Caenorhabditis elegans: one gene and its partner. The protein of the gene in region 1 interacts with the protein of each later gene in a pairwise test. Each region holds a gene or a part of one and is shown on either strand. Other genes may lie near its edges. The genes, in order: cpna-1 and unc-96.

What was found.
Region 2: the proteins of cpna-1 (region 1) and unc-96 interact in a two-hybrid assay, tested with the Caenorhabditis elegans proteins (one study listed by BioGRID).

Annotation. Positions count from the first base shown.
Region 1 is NC_003280.10:4,184,815-4,189,943, reverse strand, and holds the start of cpna-1 (Copine family protein 1), read right to left. Parts: upstream 3,269-5,129; coding exon 3,014-3,268; intron 2,973-3,013; coding exon 2,821-2,972; intron 2,477-2,820; coding exon 1,796-2,476; intron 1,735-1,795; coding exon 1,546-1,734; intron 1,044-1,545; coding exon 978-1,043; intron 969-977; exon of another isoform or gene 909-968; coding exon of another isoform or gene 582-908; intron 535-581; coding exon of another isoform or gene 332-534; intron 280-331; coding exon of another isoform or gene 161-279; intron 39-160; coding exon of another isoform or gene 1-38. Other genes in the region: mth-2 (GPS domain-containing protein), read left to right, coding at 1-38, 161-279, 332-534, 582-908. UniProt on the Caenorhabditis elegans protein: Involved in the assembly of dense bodies and M lines during body wall muscle development.
Region 2 is NC_003284.9:617,987-622,835, reverse strand, and holds the start of unc-96 (CRE-UNC-96 protein), read left to right. Parts: upstream 1-1,545; 5' UTR 1,546-1,557; coding exon 1,558-1,656; intron 1,657-2,362; coding exon 2,363-2,511; intron 2,512-4,849.

The DNA of each region.
Region 1 (5,129 bases):
ACAGCGATGGCAGCTGTGATGTACGCTTTGCTTTTGTGGTGAGTAGGCATTGCCCGCTTCGGGCCCTTCTAGCGTCATACCGGTAGTTCTATGTGTCATGGTAGCGTCACGGCTACGCCACAACCATTCTCACAATTCTAATCAATAATATTCTTTTCAGCTCTCTATTTCTCACAATTTTCCAAGCTCTTCGAAATATCCTCGTTTTCCTGCCAACTCCAGCCTACAGGCTGCTTAACATATGTTTTGGAACAGTGCCAGTTCTCATCACGTCAGTAGGTATGATAATTTTTTTGCCCGAAAATTCTAAACAACCCCCTAAATATTACAGCTCTCCCCTTTATTCTTTCAATATTTCTGCTAGTCTTCACAAAATTCTTCGACCGCCAGGACTGCTTCTGCTGGGTACGACCCGACTACATAGTGGCTGCAATTATCATTCCAGTAACTGTACTTTTACTGAGTACGGTAGTATGCACTAGTTTCATGATCTACAAAGTTTTTTGTGGAATGAAAAGGAAATTTAGTCAAGGGGTAAGTTCTTGCAAGGAAATCTAATAAGTCTGAAATAAAATTTCCAGGGTCACCACTACGATCCAAATGTGATCACGAAGATAGTATCCATAGTTGTAATGCAAATCTCACTAGGTCTTCCATGGATCCTTCAATTCGGAACCCTCTACTCCCCATACACCACCTTCTGGCACTACACCTTCACCATAGTCTTAGGGTCTCAGGGAACAATTTTACTGCTCATTTTCCTCTACAAGCGATATCGAGCTTGGCAAGCTGATAGTACGCTCAAGTCTCGAGGACAGAGCTACTCGAAGAACTCGACAAAACGAACGAAGCTGGTCGAAGAGGAGAACAGTTTAGGATCAAGTACAGATACTTTTAATGAATATTGACCTCAGTGTTTTTTGTGTATATAGGAAGTTATTATAAATAAAAAATATTTTTCTGAAAAAGTAACGTACTTGGTAATCGAAGTGACTTGTGGTGCAGGGACGTCAGCTCGTTTTGGAGCAGTTGGTGTCATTGGTCTAAAAATTTGAAAAATTAGCTTGGTAAAATGCATAGTAGGTACTTATTTGAGCGTGCCTGCCTGCCTGCTCACCTACCAGCTTACCTAGGCCTTCATACCAACCTTCAGCTCATTCTCGCTCAGTGTAGTTTTAACACAATTTTATCAATTTTATTAACCACGAAATGTAAAAAAAGAATCTAAATCTAATTTGGAACTAGGCGCATGTGTAGGCACTTGGTAGGCGTAGGTAGCCTTCAATGCAGGTAGGCAAATCAGAGCAGGCCTAGCATGCCTAACAGGTCGTATAAATATCTCGGAAAAGTTCCCAACATTGTTGCAAACTTGAACAATACTCTTATAGGCAGGCACGCCTTCAAGGCTACCTACCTACCTGCCTGCCTACCTAACTACGAAACTGTGTTTTAGGCATTCACTTTTTTTTGAAAAATTTCCAAATGCTTTGCTCATTTTTTGAACTTTCACTAAAATTTGAACCATAAAAATAGCCTAAAACTTACTGAATCTGTGCTGCTCCACTATGGCTCTCGTAGGAGATGTGAGAAGCTGGTGCAAAGTGATCATAGGCTTTTTGAGACGAATCCAAGTCTGTCGAATCACCTCCAACTTCATGATCCAAAAGCTTCTTCAGACGGTCAGCTTCGAGAAGGGCCTTCTCCTTTTCCCAGTCCTGAAGGGCTCGCTCGTCTCTGGAAATTGAATTTGCTCTTTGTAAATTGAAAACCCAAACTAAGATTAAAAAAAACTCACTGCTCACTGAGCCGCTTCTCCCTTCCCAGCTTCTTTGTTACTGGTTGGAATGCTCCTGAAGCTTGTTGCTCAGCGATCAGAGCTCCAGCCCCGGGAGACAGCTGAGAAATGTCCACGAACTGCTGCTGGTTGTAACGGGCTTGAGATGCTGGGGACAGTTGGGAGAAATCAAAGTATGGTTGCTGTGGATGTGTCTGGATTTGCAGTGGTGATGGTTGCTGGATTGGCTGGAAGACTCCCTGCTGTTGCAGTTGCTGATGAGCTAACTGAGCATGTTGAAGCTGTTGAAGTTGAGCTGGGGTCTTCTGTCCAAGCTGTCCAAGTTGCTCGGAGATCTGATTCATCCGCTGATGAGCTGGAGCATCGTAGATATCAAACTCGTGAAGCAGCTGCTGGTCAGTCGGAGATATCGGAACCGGTTGAACGATTTTGTGTTGGGGTACCGGAGGTGGTTGGTGTTGCTGAGCATAATATTGCTCGGCAGCTGTTTTGAGATGAGGTGGAACATGCTCAAAGTCGTGCCCGAATGCGGATTCTTCCGGTGCAATAGATGGAATTTGCTCGAATTGGGTGGAATCGCGGGATGTTGGAGACAGGTCCATGTTCTTTGTCTCGTGGAGGTGATTGTTGACGGAAGAGAGCACGGTGTCGAACTTCTCTCTGGTGGCGTCGATGGGGTGGCTGAAAATCTGAGATTTTTGACATGCCTATGTGATACCTATTTCGGGCTTTCCACACTTCTGCGTTGCAGCTATGCCTACTCCATACCTGCCTGCCTACGTGCCATTTTCATGCATGCCTCCCTATGTGCAACGTGCCTATACCTGACCCAGGTGTCTCTGCCTACGTGCATTTCTAATGAATATACGTGCCTATCATATTCCTGCTTGCCAACATGTCTAACTACGTGCCTACGCTTGACTTATGTTTGCCTGCCTAGTTCATGCCTACCTAACTACTTCAGGCCTGCCTATTCCATACCTGCTCCCTAATGCCGAAAATGTGATTCTTGTTCTCACACTTACCCTAAATTCAAATCCACCTCCAAGCTCGGGAACTTATTTGCAGCCTGCTCAGCGAACTGATGGACGTTATTTTGAACTGAGTGAGCTTGTTCTTTCAGATATTGGTCGGCTTCACGCATCAGCTCTTCAGCGCTTTCTGGGATGTGTTGCTGCTGAAATTCCTTTTTTTTCAAGATCTATTCTCAACACCTACCACTTGTTCTTTCACATCATGAAGCTTGTCACCGGCCTTGGCCAGGACGCTTTCTACCGAAGTTTGTGGCTCTTCCTTCTCGCCTGACTCCTTCTTATTCTTGTCATCGAGAAGTTTGAAGAAGTAGTAGACGAAGGCTATGGCGGCAAACGTGAGCATGTAGCGGGTGAAGCCGGAGAACACGAGAAAATGCTCCGGCTCCGGGCATTCCTCCCACTCGTCCGGGTCGTACCCGAGACGCGCGTCGAATACCATACCGACTCGCCTGGAAATGGAGAAATTGAGCTAATGGATAAAGGTGATCAAAAATTAAAACAATACAAATTTTTGATAGTTTAGAAGCAGCTGATGGAAGTTAGATGATCAAATAGATAAAAAAGAAACTGGAGAATTTCAGAAATTTGGAAATTTTTGAAGACTTTTTAAAAATCTTAAAAGAGTACCAAAATCTGAAATGTTACTTTTTTAGACACAAAAACCCAAAACTTCCGAATTTTGTTATGAGAAGTTCTGAAACTTTCTCAAAAAAATGGTATAAAGATTCAAAATTTTGGAAAAAGCTTTTTTCAATAGGCTAGTACGCTTTTTTGTGGCCTGCCTGCCTACTTGCCTGCCTATGCCTCTTTTCTGGACATGAGCTCTAGATCAATTTGTGTCTGCCCTAAAAATAATCAGTGAAAAAATAGCGAAATTTTTGAAAATCAACTTGTTCCAATTTTTCCAATTTTAAAGCTTCCTACTTGGAGCCAATTAATACAAAAATTATGAATATTCAAACAATTTTTCAACAAAATTCCAAAAAAAAGACGAAGATCTTTTGATCATTCAAAACCTTCAAAATTTGTGCTCTTTTCTTCAGCACAAAGAACTCTTTTTGTCATTTTTTTCTGCATTTTATACTTGAAAAGCCTTGCTCAAGTTACCAGCTTCCGTCCCCTTCTACAATGTAATGCAGTTGAGGGACGGGACGGGGGACACGGAAAAAATGGCTCTCAAGTCGCGACGATGAGGCAGAAAGCTGGCGGCTCTGCGATGGCAAAACTTGTGAAGAAGAGAAGAGGCAAAACAACAGTGAAAAGCCATGAACTCTTTTGCTGTCAACCAACTCTCTGTGATTTGGGTGGAGTGGTAGTAGTTGAAAGGGATACACAAAATGAGGAAGATATTAAATGGAAAATATTGAGGGAAGAAAAAAACAACATTTGTTGAGCGCCAAAAACATGCGGAACGGCGGTGTTCCAGTAGTTGAAAAAAATAGAATATTTGCAAAAATTGTAGAAAACTTTTGGGAGTTTCCCTTGGCAGGAAAATTGGGAAAATGTTTCAGACGAAAGTCCTGAAATCTTACAAATCCCAAAAATCATTGTTATCCTAACCTAAAAGCTACCGTTCGCAATGAGAACATTGTGCCAAATTTTGATGGCAATTACGTGGGTTGTCCCATTTCGGTTTGATCTACGTAGATCTACAAAAAATGCGGGAGTTGAGACGCAGAGATCTCAACTGAGTTCGCAAGGTTCAGAACTTGCTGACGTCACATTTTTGAGCATAAAATTCCCGCATTTTTTGTAGATCAAAGCGTAATGGGAAAACCTGAAACCACATGGGCAAGGTGTATTCACAGCCCTTTTAAGAACATAGCAAAACTAATGTTGGTTTGTACTAAAAAATATTTTCTGGGACGGTTTTTTTTAATTTTTCAAATAGTTCAGAAAACTTTCTAACAGAAAAAGTTCATCATATTAAAGTTGAAATTTCAAAACAAAAAACTATTTTTCAAAAATACTTTCACATCTAGCCGAATTGATATGGGAAATGAAAATATTTCAATTTGAAAAAAATACGTGCACTATTTTAAATATAGCTAAAAATATAGTTTATAAAAATGAAAATTTTTCTCTAACAAAAGTTATTAAAAAGTTACGAAATTCGAGAGAAAGTTTTTAAAAATCTTGAGCAAAAAAATGTTGCTTTCAGAATTTTGTATACCTTCCTAGAGATCTGGACAAAACCTAGGAAAAAAAGTAAATTTTCACCGTTTCAGAAAATATCTGAAGTTATGCTTTAAACTCTTCAAACTGGAAAAATAAATTAGGAAAAATTTCCAAATTTTCGT
Region 2 (4,849 bases), on another chromosome or scaffold:
AAAGTGTTGATGCTTTCAAATTATTGATCTTTCGAGGGATCTGGCAAAAATTTAGTTGCGCGCCAGATTAAAATCAAAAATTAAGCTATAGTGGTTTTTTCAAGTATAATGTTGATTTTGTGTTTTTTTTCCTGGTTTCGAAAGCACTTTGGCAATTTTCCAAGAAGTTTGAATGATTAAGAAAAATCTAAAATTGTTGATCAACTTTATCATAAGTATTTCAGTCAACACAGATTTTTTTCCAGAAATTTTGAGAGTTATCTTTGATTCCGGAAATGACGGTCTTTTCCTCACTGCTTTTATATTGCCATTTTTTGTACGAGCCACTGTTGCTTTGATTATCTTTCGATTAATTCTGATTCAGGTTTACTTTTTTGATAATTCAAATTTTCAGAGCTACCTGGCGTTAAATGTCACCCTTTTTCCCTTTTTTCAAGAGAAAATTAGTTTTGTTTGTTTCAAGAAACGTTATTGACAATAAATCTTAGGAGTTATCTTAATCTAAAAACTGGGAAAAAAGTAAAACGAATTCAGTCTACAGAATTGAAGTACAGTAAATGATTTTTTTCATCAGCTAGAACATTTTAGAAGCCCTTTTAGATTTCAGGTTAAGCTATCTCCCAAGCATGTAGCCGCAACTGAGATTCTGCAGTTGTTCTAGAAGATTTTCACATCCCCCATACGGCTATTATTTGTCTGAAATTACCGTTTCAAATTTCAGCGGCCTGATCAAGCCTGATTAGATTCATATAATTGTAAAACAAACTGCAATACTTTAACTTGAAAAAATCAGTAACCCGATGGCAGCACCATTTTTCACAAACTGAAACACGAGGACGCCGGCCCGATTTGTGGGGGGGGGGGGGGGGGGGGGTTTGAGAAAAATCATCGAATCGCAGCTAGTGCTCTTTTGCCGAGGGACAAGGAAGAGAGAAAGAGAGGAGATACGCCCGTTGGCTTTACACAGGTTTTGTGTTGAGATCGTCAAGAAGACGGGAGGTAGTCGGGAGGGGGGGGGCGAGAGTGCAGTGATCAGAGAGGCGCAGTCGTTCCCGGCTCTCTGAGCACGCACACTTTTCTCCTCTATTCACGGGAAGACCTCTCAACATTCACCCCACTCTTTTATCTTTTGTATTCGGATTTTTGTTTTTTTTTGTTGGTGCTTTAATTAATTTATTTTTCGATTTTGTTAACTTTTTTATTTTGCTCTGCTAAGTATGTTTAATTTCTCTAAATCTTCAAAACTTACATGTATATATTTGAAAACATGCATCAAATTCTAATTGAAAAAGCCTCCAACCAACTATTGCGAAATACTTTTGTTTTTTATATTGTGGGCCAAAAACACTGATACCCCTATAAAAACATTACCTGTATCCCGAAAAAAACTTGAAACTCTCGCGCGACATTGACATTCCAATCAAAAAGGCGGTGAGCAAATCCCCTGAGCACCACTCAATTTCTCAAACAGAAAAGTTTCTGTCTCATACATTCTTGCCAACTTTTTCATCTTTTTCTACTCATCCCTGAGCTGTTACTTTCCAGAAGACTTGGATAATGAGTGAAACTGAAGATGTGAATCTCAACCTGGATCCGGAGAAACCCAAAGTTCGATCAGTTGTGAGATCAGACAGCGGATTGGAAAATGAGATTCCTGTAAGAAGAGAAGGGTGGTGTGAAAAACGAGAAATATATATATATATGTATATGCTTTGAAAGTTTTGAGTTTTTTGAGAGTTTAGGCAGCATTTTACATTTTATCGGTTTGCACCCAGTCCGTACATTTTTCGAAAAGCTTTAGCCTATTTTTGAAGATAGTTGAAAATTTTGAAATTGTTTCTCTTCAGTTGGGATTTTTGAATGTCAAATACTTTGATTTAAAGTCTAAGGGAATACAAAAAAGTATGAACTGGAAAATAGTTTTTCAAAAGTCAATACCTCCCTTTCATATGAACTGAGAATCTTTGATCACATTTTACAAGAGCATAATATAGAATGTAGTGTATGTCTAGACAATTTTTCTGTGATGCCGAAAAAAATATAGAGGATTAAAATAGACAAAAAATGTAGACTATGATCACAAAACGCTCATCTTATTAAATATACTCAATGTTTCTTAAAACAAACAAGTAGTTTGGGATCTGGATAGATTAGGATATCAATTGATTAATTCGCAGTACGAGATTTAAAAAAAACTGTTTATGCAGTTTTGTAAAAAAAAAAGACTAATAACGTCAACAAAAATTATATTGGATGCAACTCTCAAAAATTAATTTGAAATTGGTAAATCTTCACGCTTTAGTTTATGACAGAATTAGAAATTCTAGTAATTGCATAAATCCGAATACTCTCCATTTTCCAGAAAATTTCCGGAACCTCATCAGCATTAATAGAAGAGGGGTTATCTCTGCTCAACCTCAAATCTTCTTTGAGCCCAAATGTTGCTCCAGTTGCCGTAGATTTGTTGGATAGAACGTGCCCAAGTCCAGATTACGGGCTGACGTCAGAGAGGTTAGTGAACTTTTTTCTTTCAAGTAGTGAGCTCCCATTATATTTCAAAAGTTTACGATACCGTGTATAAAAGATATTTTGATTGTTTTTTCCTCCACGGGTTTAAGCTTCGGCTGAGGCTTTCACTCATCAATTTGGTTTTATTAATGCATATTTATCTTGAAAAATGGTTTTAGCTACTTTTATCTATTGCTTGAAGTGAATTTCATCTGCGTGTGAATTTTCAACTACTTTTAAATAAATTTTCGCTGAATTATGGTTCTGCAACCTATAATACTATGTTAGCAAATGTAACTCAAAAAGTACCTAACAAGAACAAAAACAAGATTGTAAGAGTTATCAAAAATGACCGAGAGCAAGATTTCTGCCAGATGTGTAACTGAGTGAGATATGTGTACGGCGGAAACAACACATTACACAATGACCCGCAGAGTTTGATTAGATTTGTTAATGTTTTGGTTTTGAACGCGGTGAAAAAGAGATCAACTAGGACTTGTCAAAATCCAAAGTAATCATATTTTAAATGTTTATTTTTTTATCAAAAGAACAAATCGGTGTAATTTGACACCTTTAGCAAGAATTATCACTGAAATCGTGACGAGAGCTAAAAAAACTAGATGCGTCTTCAGGCTACAGTAGCAAATTGTTGACAGTGAAAATTATAAGTATTGTTTTTTGATTCCTAGTTTATTCTTTTTTTTTAAATTTTAACCTTTATAAAAATATTAAAGATTTCCACTTCTCAGTTACCTCAACTGTGATTTTTGCCGTGAAGCAAAGATGATTGAAAAATACCGTTAGAATCTTGTATTTTTGACCAACTTTTCTACGCAGTGGTAACACCATAATGATGATCGTAACTATCGCAATAAAAATGTTCCCACTTCTACCATAATCATTAGTCCTTCTTTTCACATGTTTTTGAACATGTTAGCAGTGTTGACTTTAAATTAATTTTTCTCCGGGCTGTCATGTACCTACTGGATACAGGGAGGATATGTCTGAAAACTTAATTTGGACTATTCCAAGAACACTATAAGTGACTGTAACTGCTAAATACAATTTATTGAACTTCCACAGCTTGATATTACTGATAGTAAAACATTTACTCATGACAATTATATTAGGTGTTCAAGGACTAATTATAGAGCTTGTAAAATTTGAAAAAAATCGGTTGCCAAATTGGGAATTTTTAAAAATTTTCTTGTATGTAGTGTTTCAGTCTGTGACATTTTTTTAGAGAAAATTCTATTATAATTTGTGTATATCAATGGAAAATTTTGGAAGTAGATGTTTATTGGTTTCATTCACAACGGAACAAGATGATTTTTTCTCGTAAATGGCATGACTCGGAATAAACTTTCTAGTGTTAAAAATGATAGAAAAAATCTTAGATTTTTTAGAAAAATGCAATTCTAACCAATTGTTATGAACGCACGTGCATTCATTCGAAAAAAATAACGTGGGAGGCTCCAAAGTCTAAAAGACCGCTGATAAATTTAACTGTAAACTGCTGAAATATACAAAAAAAAAAGTGAAAACAAGCAAATTATTAAGGTAACCTTTCTAATAGTTTTTAAAGAAATCGTTAAGCTCATAGAAATGTATTTCTATAATTGCGCCTCATCATGTATGTATTACTTTTCAATGTTTGATAGAGTCATTAATAATTTGAAAAATATTGTTTTTCCCCAAATGTTTGAAATAATGTACAAAATAATGTTTTCATGTGATGCTTTAAACACATAGTTGGTTTTAAGTAAAAAAACAAGCCTAAGAAAATTAGTTTAAGTTAAACAATCACATGCGAAACTTAAAAAAACTGCTCGTTTCAGAAATTTAAAAATGAAAAACTCAGAAGCAGAACTGTTTTTTTCGCTTCTTATCTGCGCTATTCCAGCATTCACGTGGTGTCAGAGTATCTCATTTTGGTTTGATCTACATAGATCTACAAAAAAATGCGGGAGTTGAGACGCAAGGTTCTCAACTGATTTCGCATGGTAAAGAATGTGCTGACGTCACATTTTTTGGGCGAAAAAATTTTCGCATTTTTGTAGATCAAACCGTGAAAGAACATCCTGACACCACGTGAACATTTAAAAAGCCTTTGTTTTTGCGTGACAATTGTTCTTACGGTTTTCAGTTTAGTGAGATTCGGACGTAGTCTGAACTTATTACTTAATAATTTATTATTTTTGTATCACAGTTTGAGTCTTTTCAAATACTTTCCTCATTCACTCAGACAAAAACTGTTTCTTGAACCGTACGACCTTTTTTCTGTTCTCCGTCCAACTGAAGTGCATCCTATTTTTCGATACCTCCGAAAACCTCTAATATC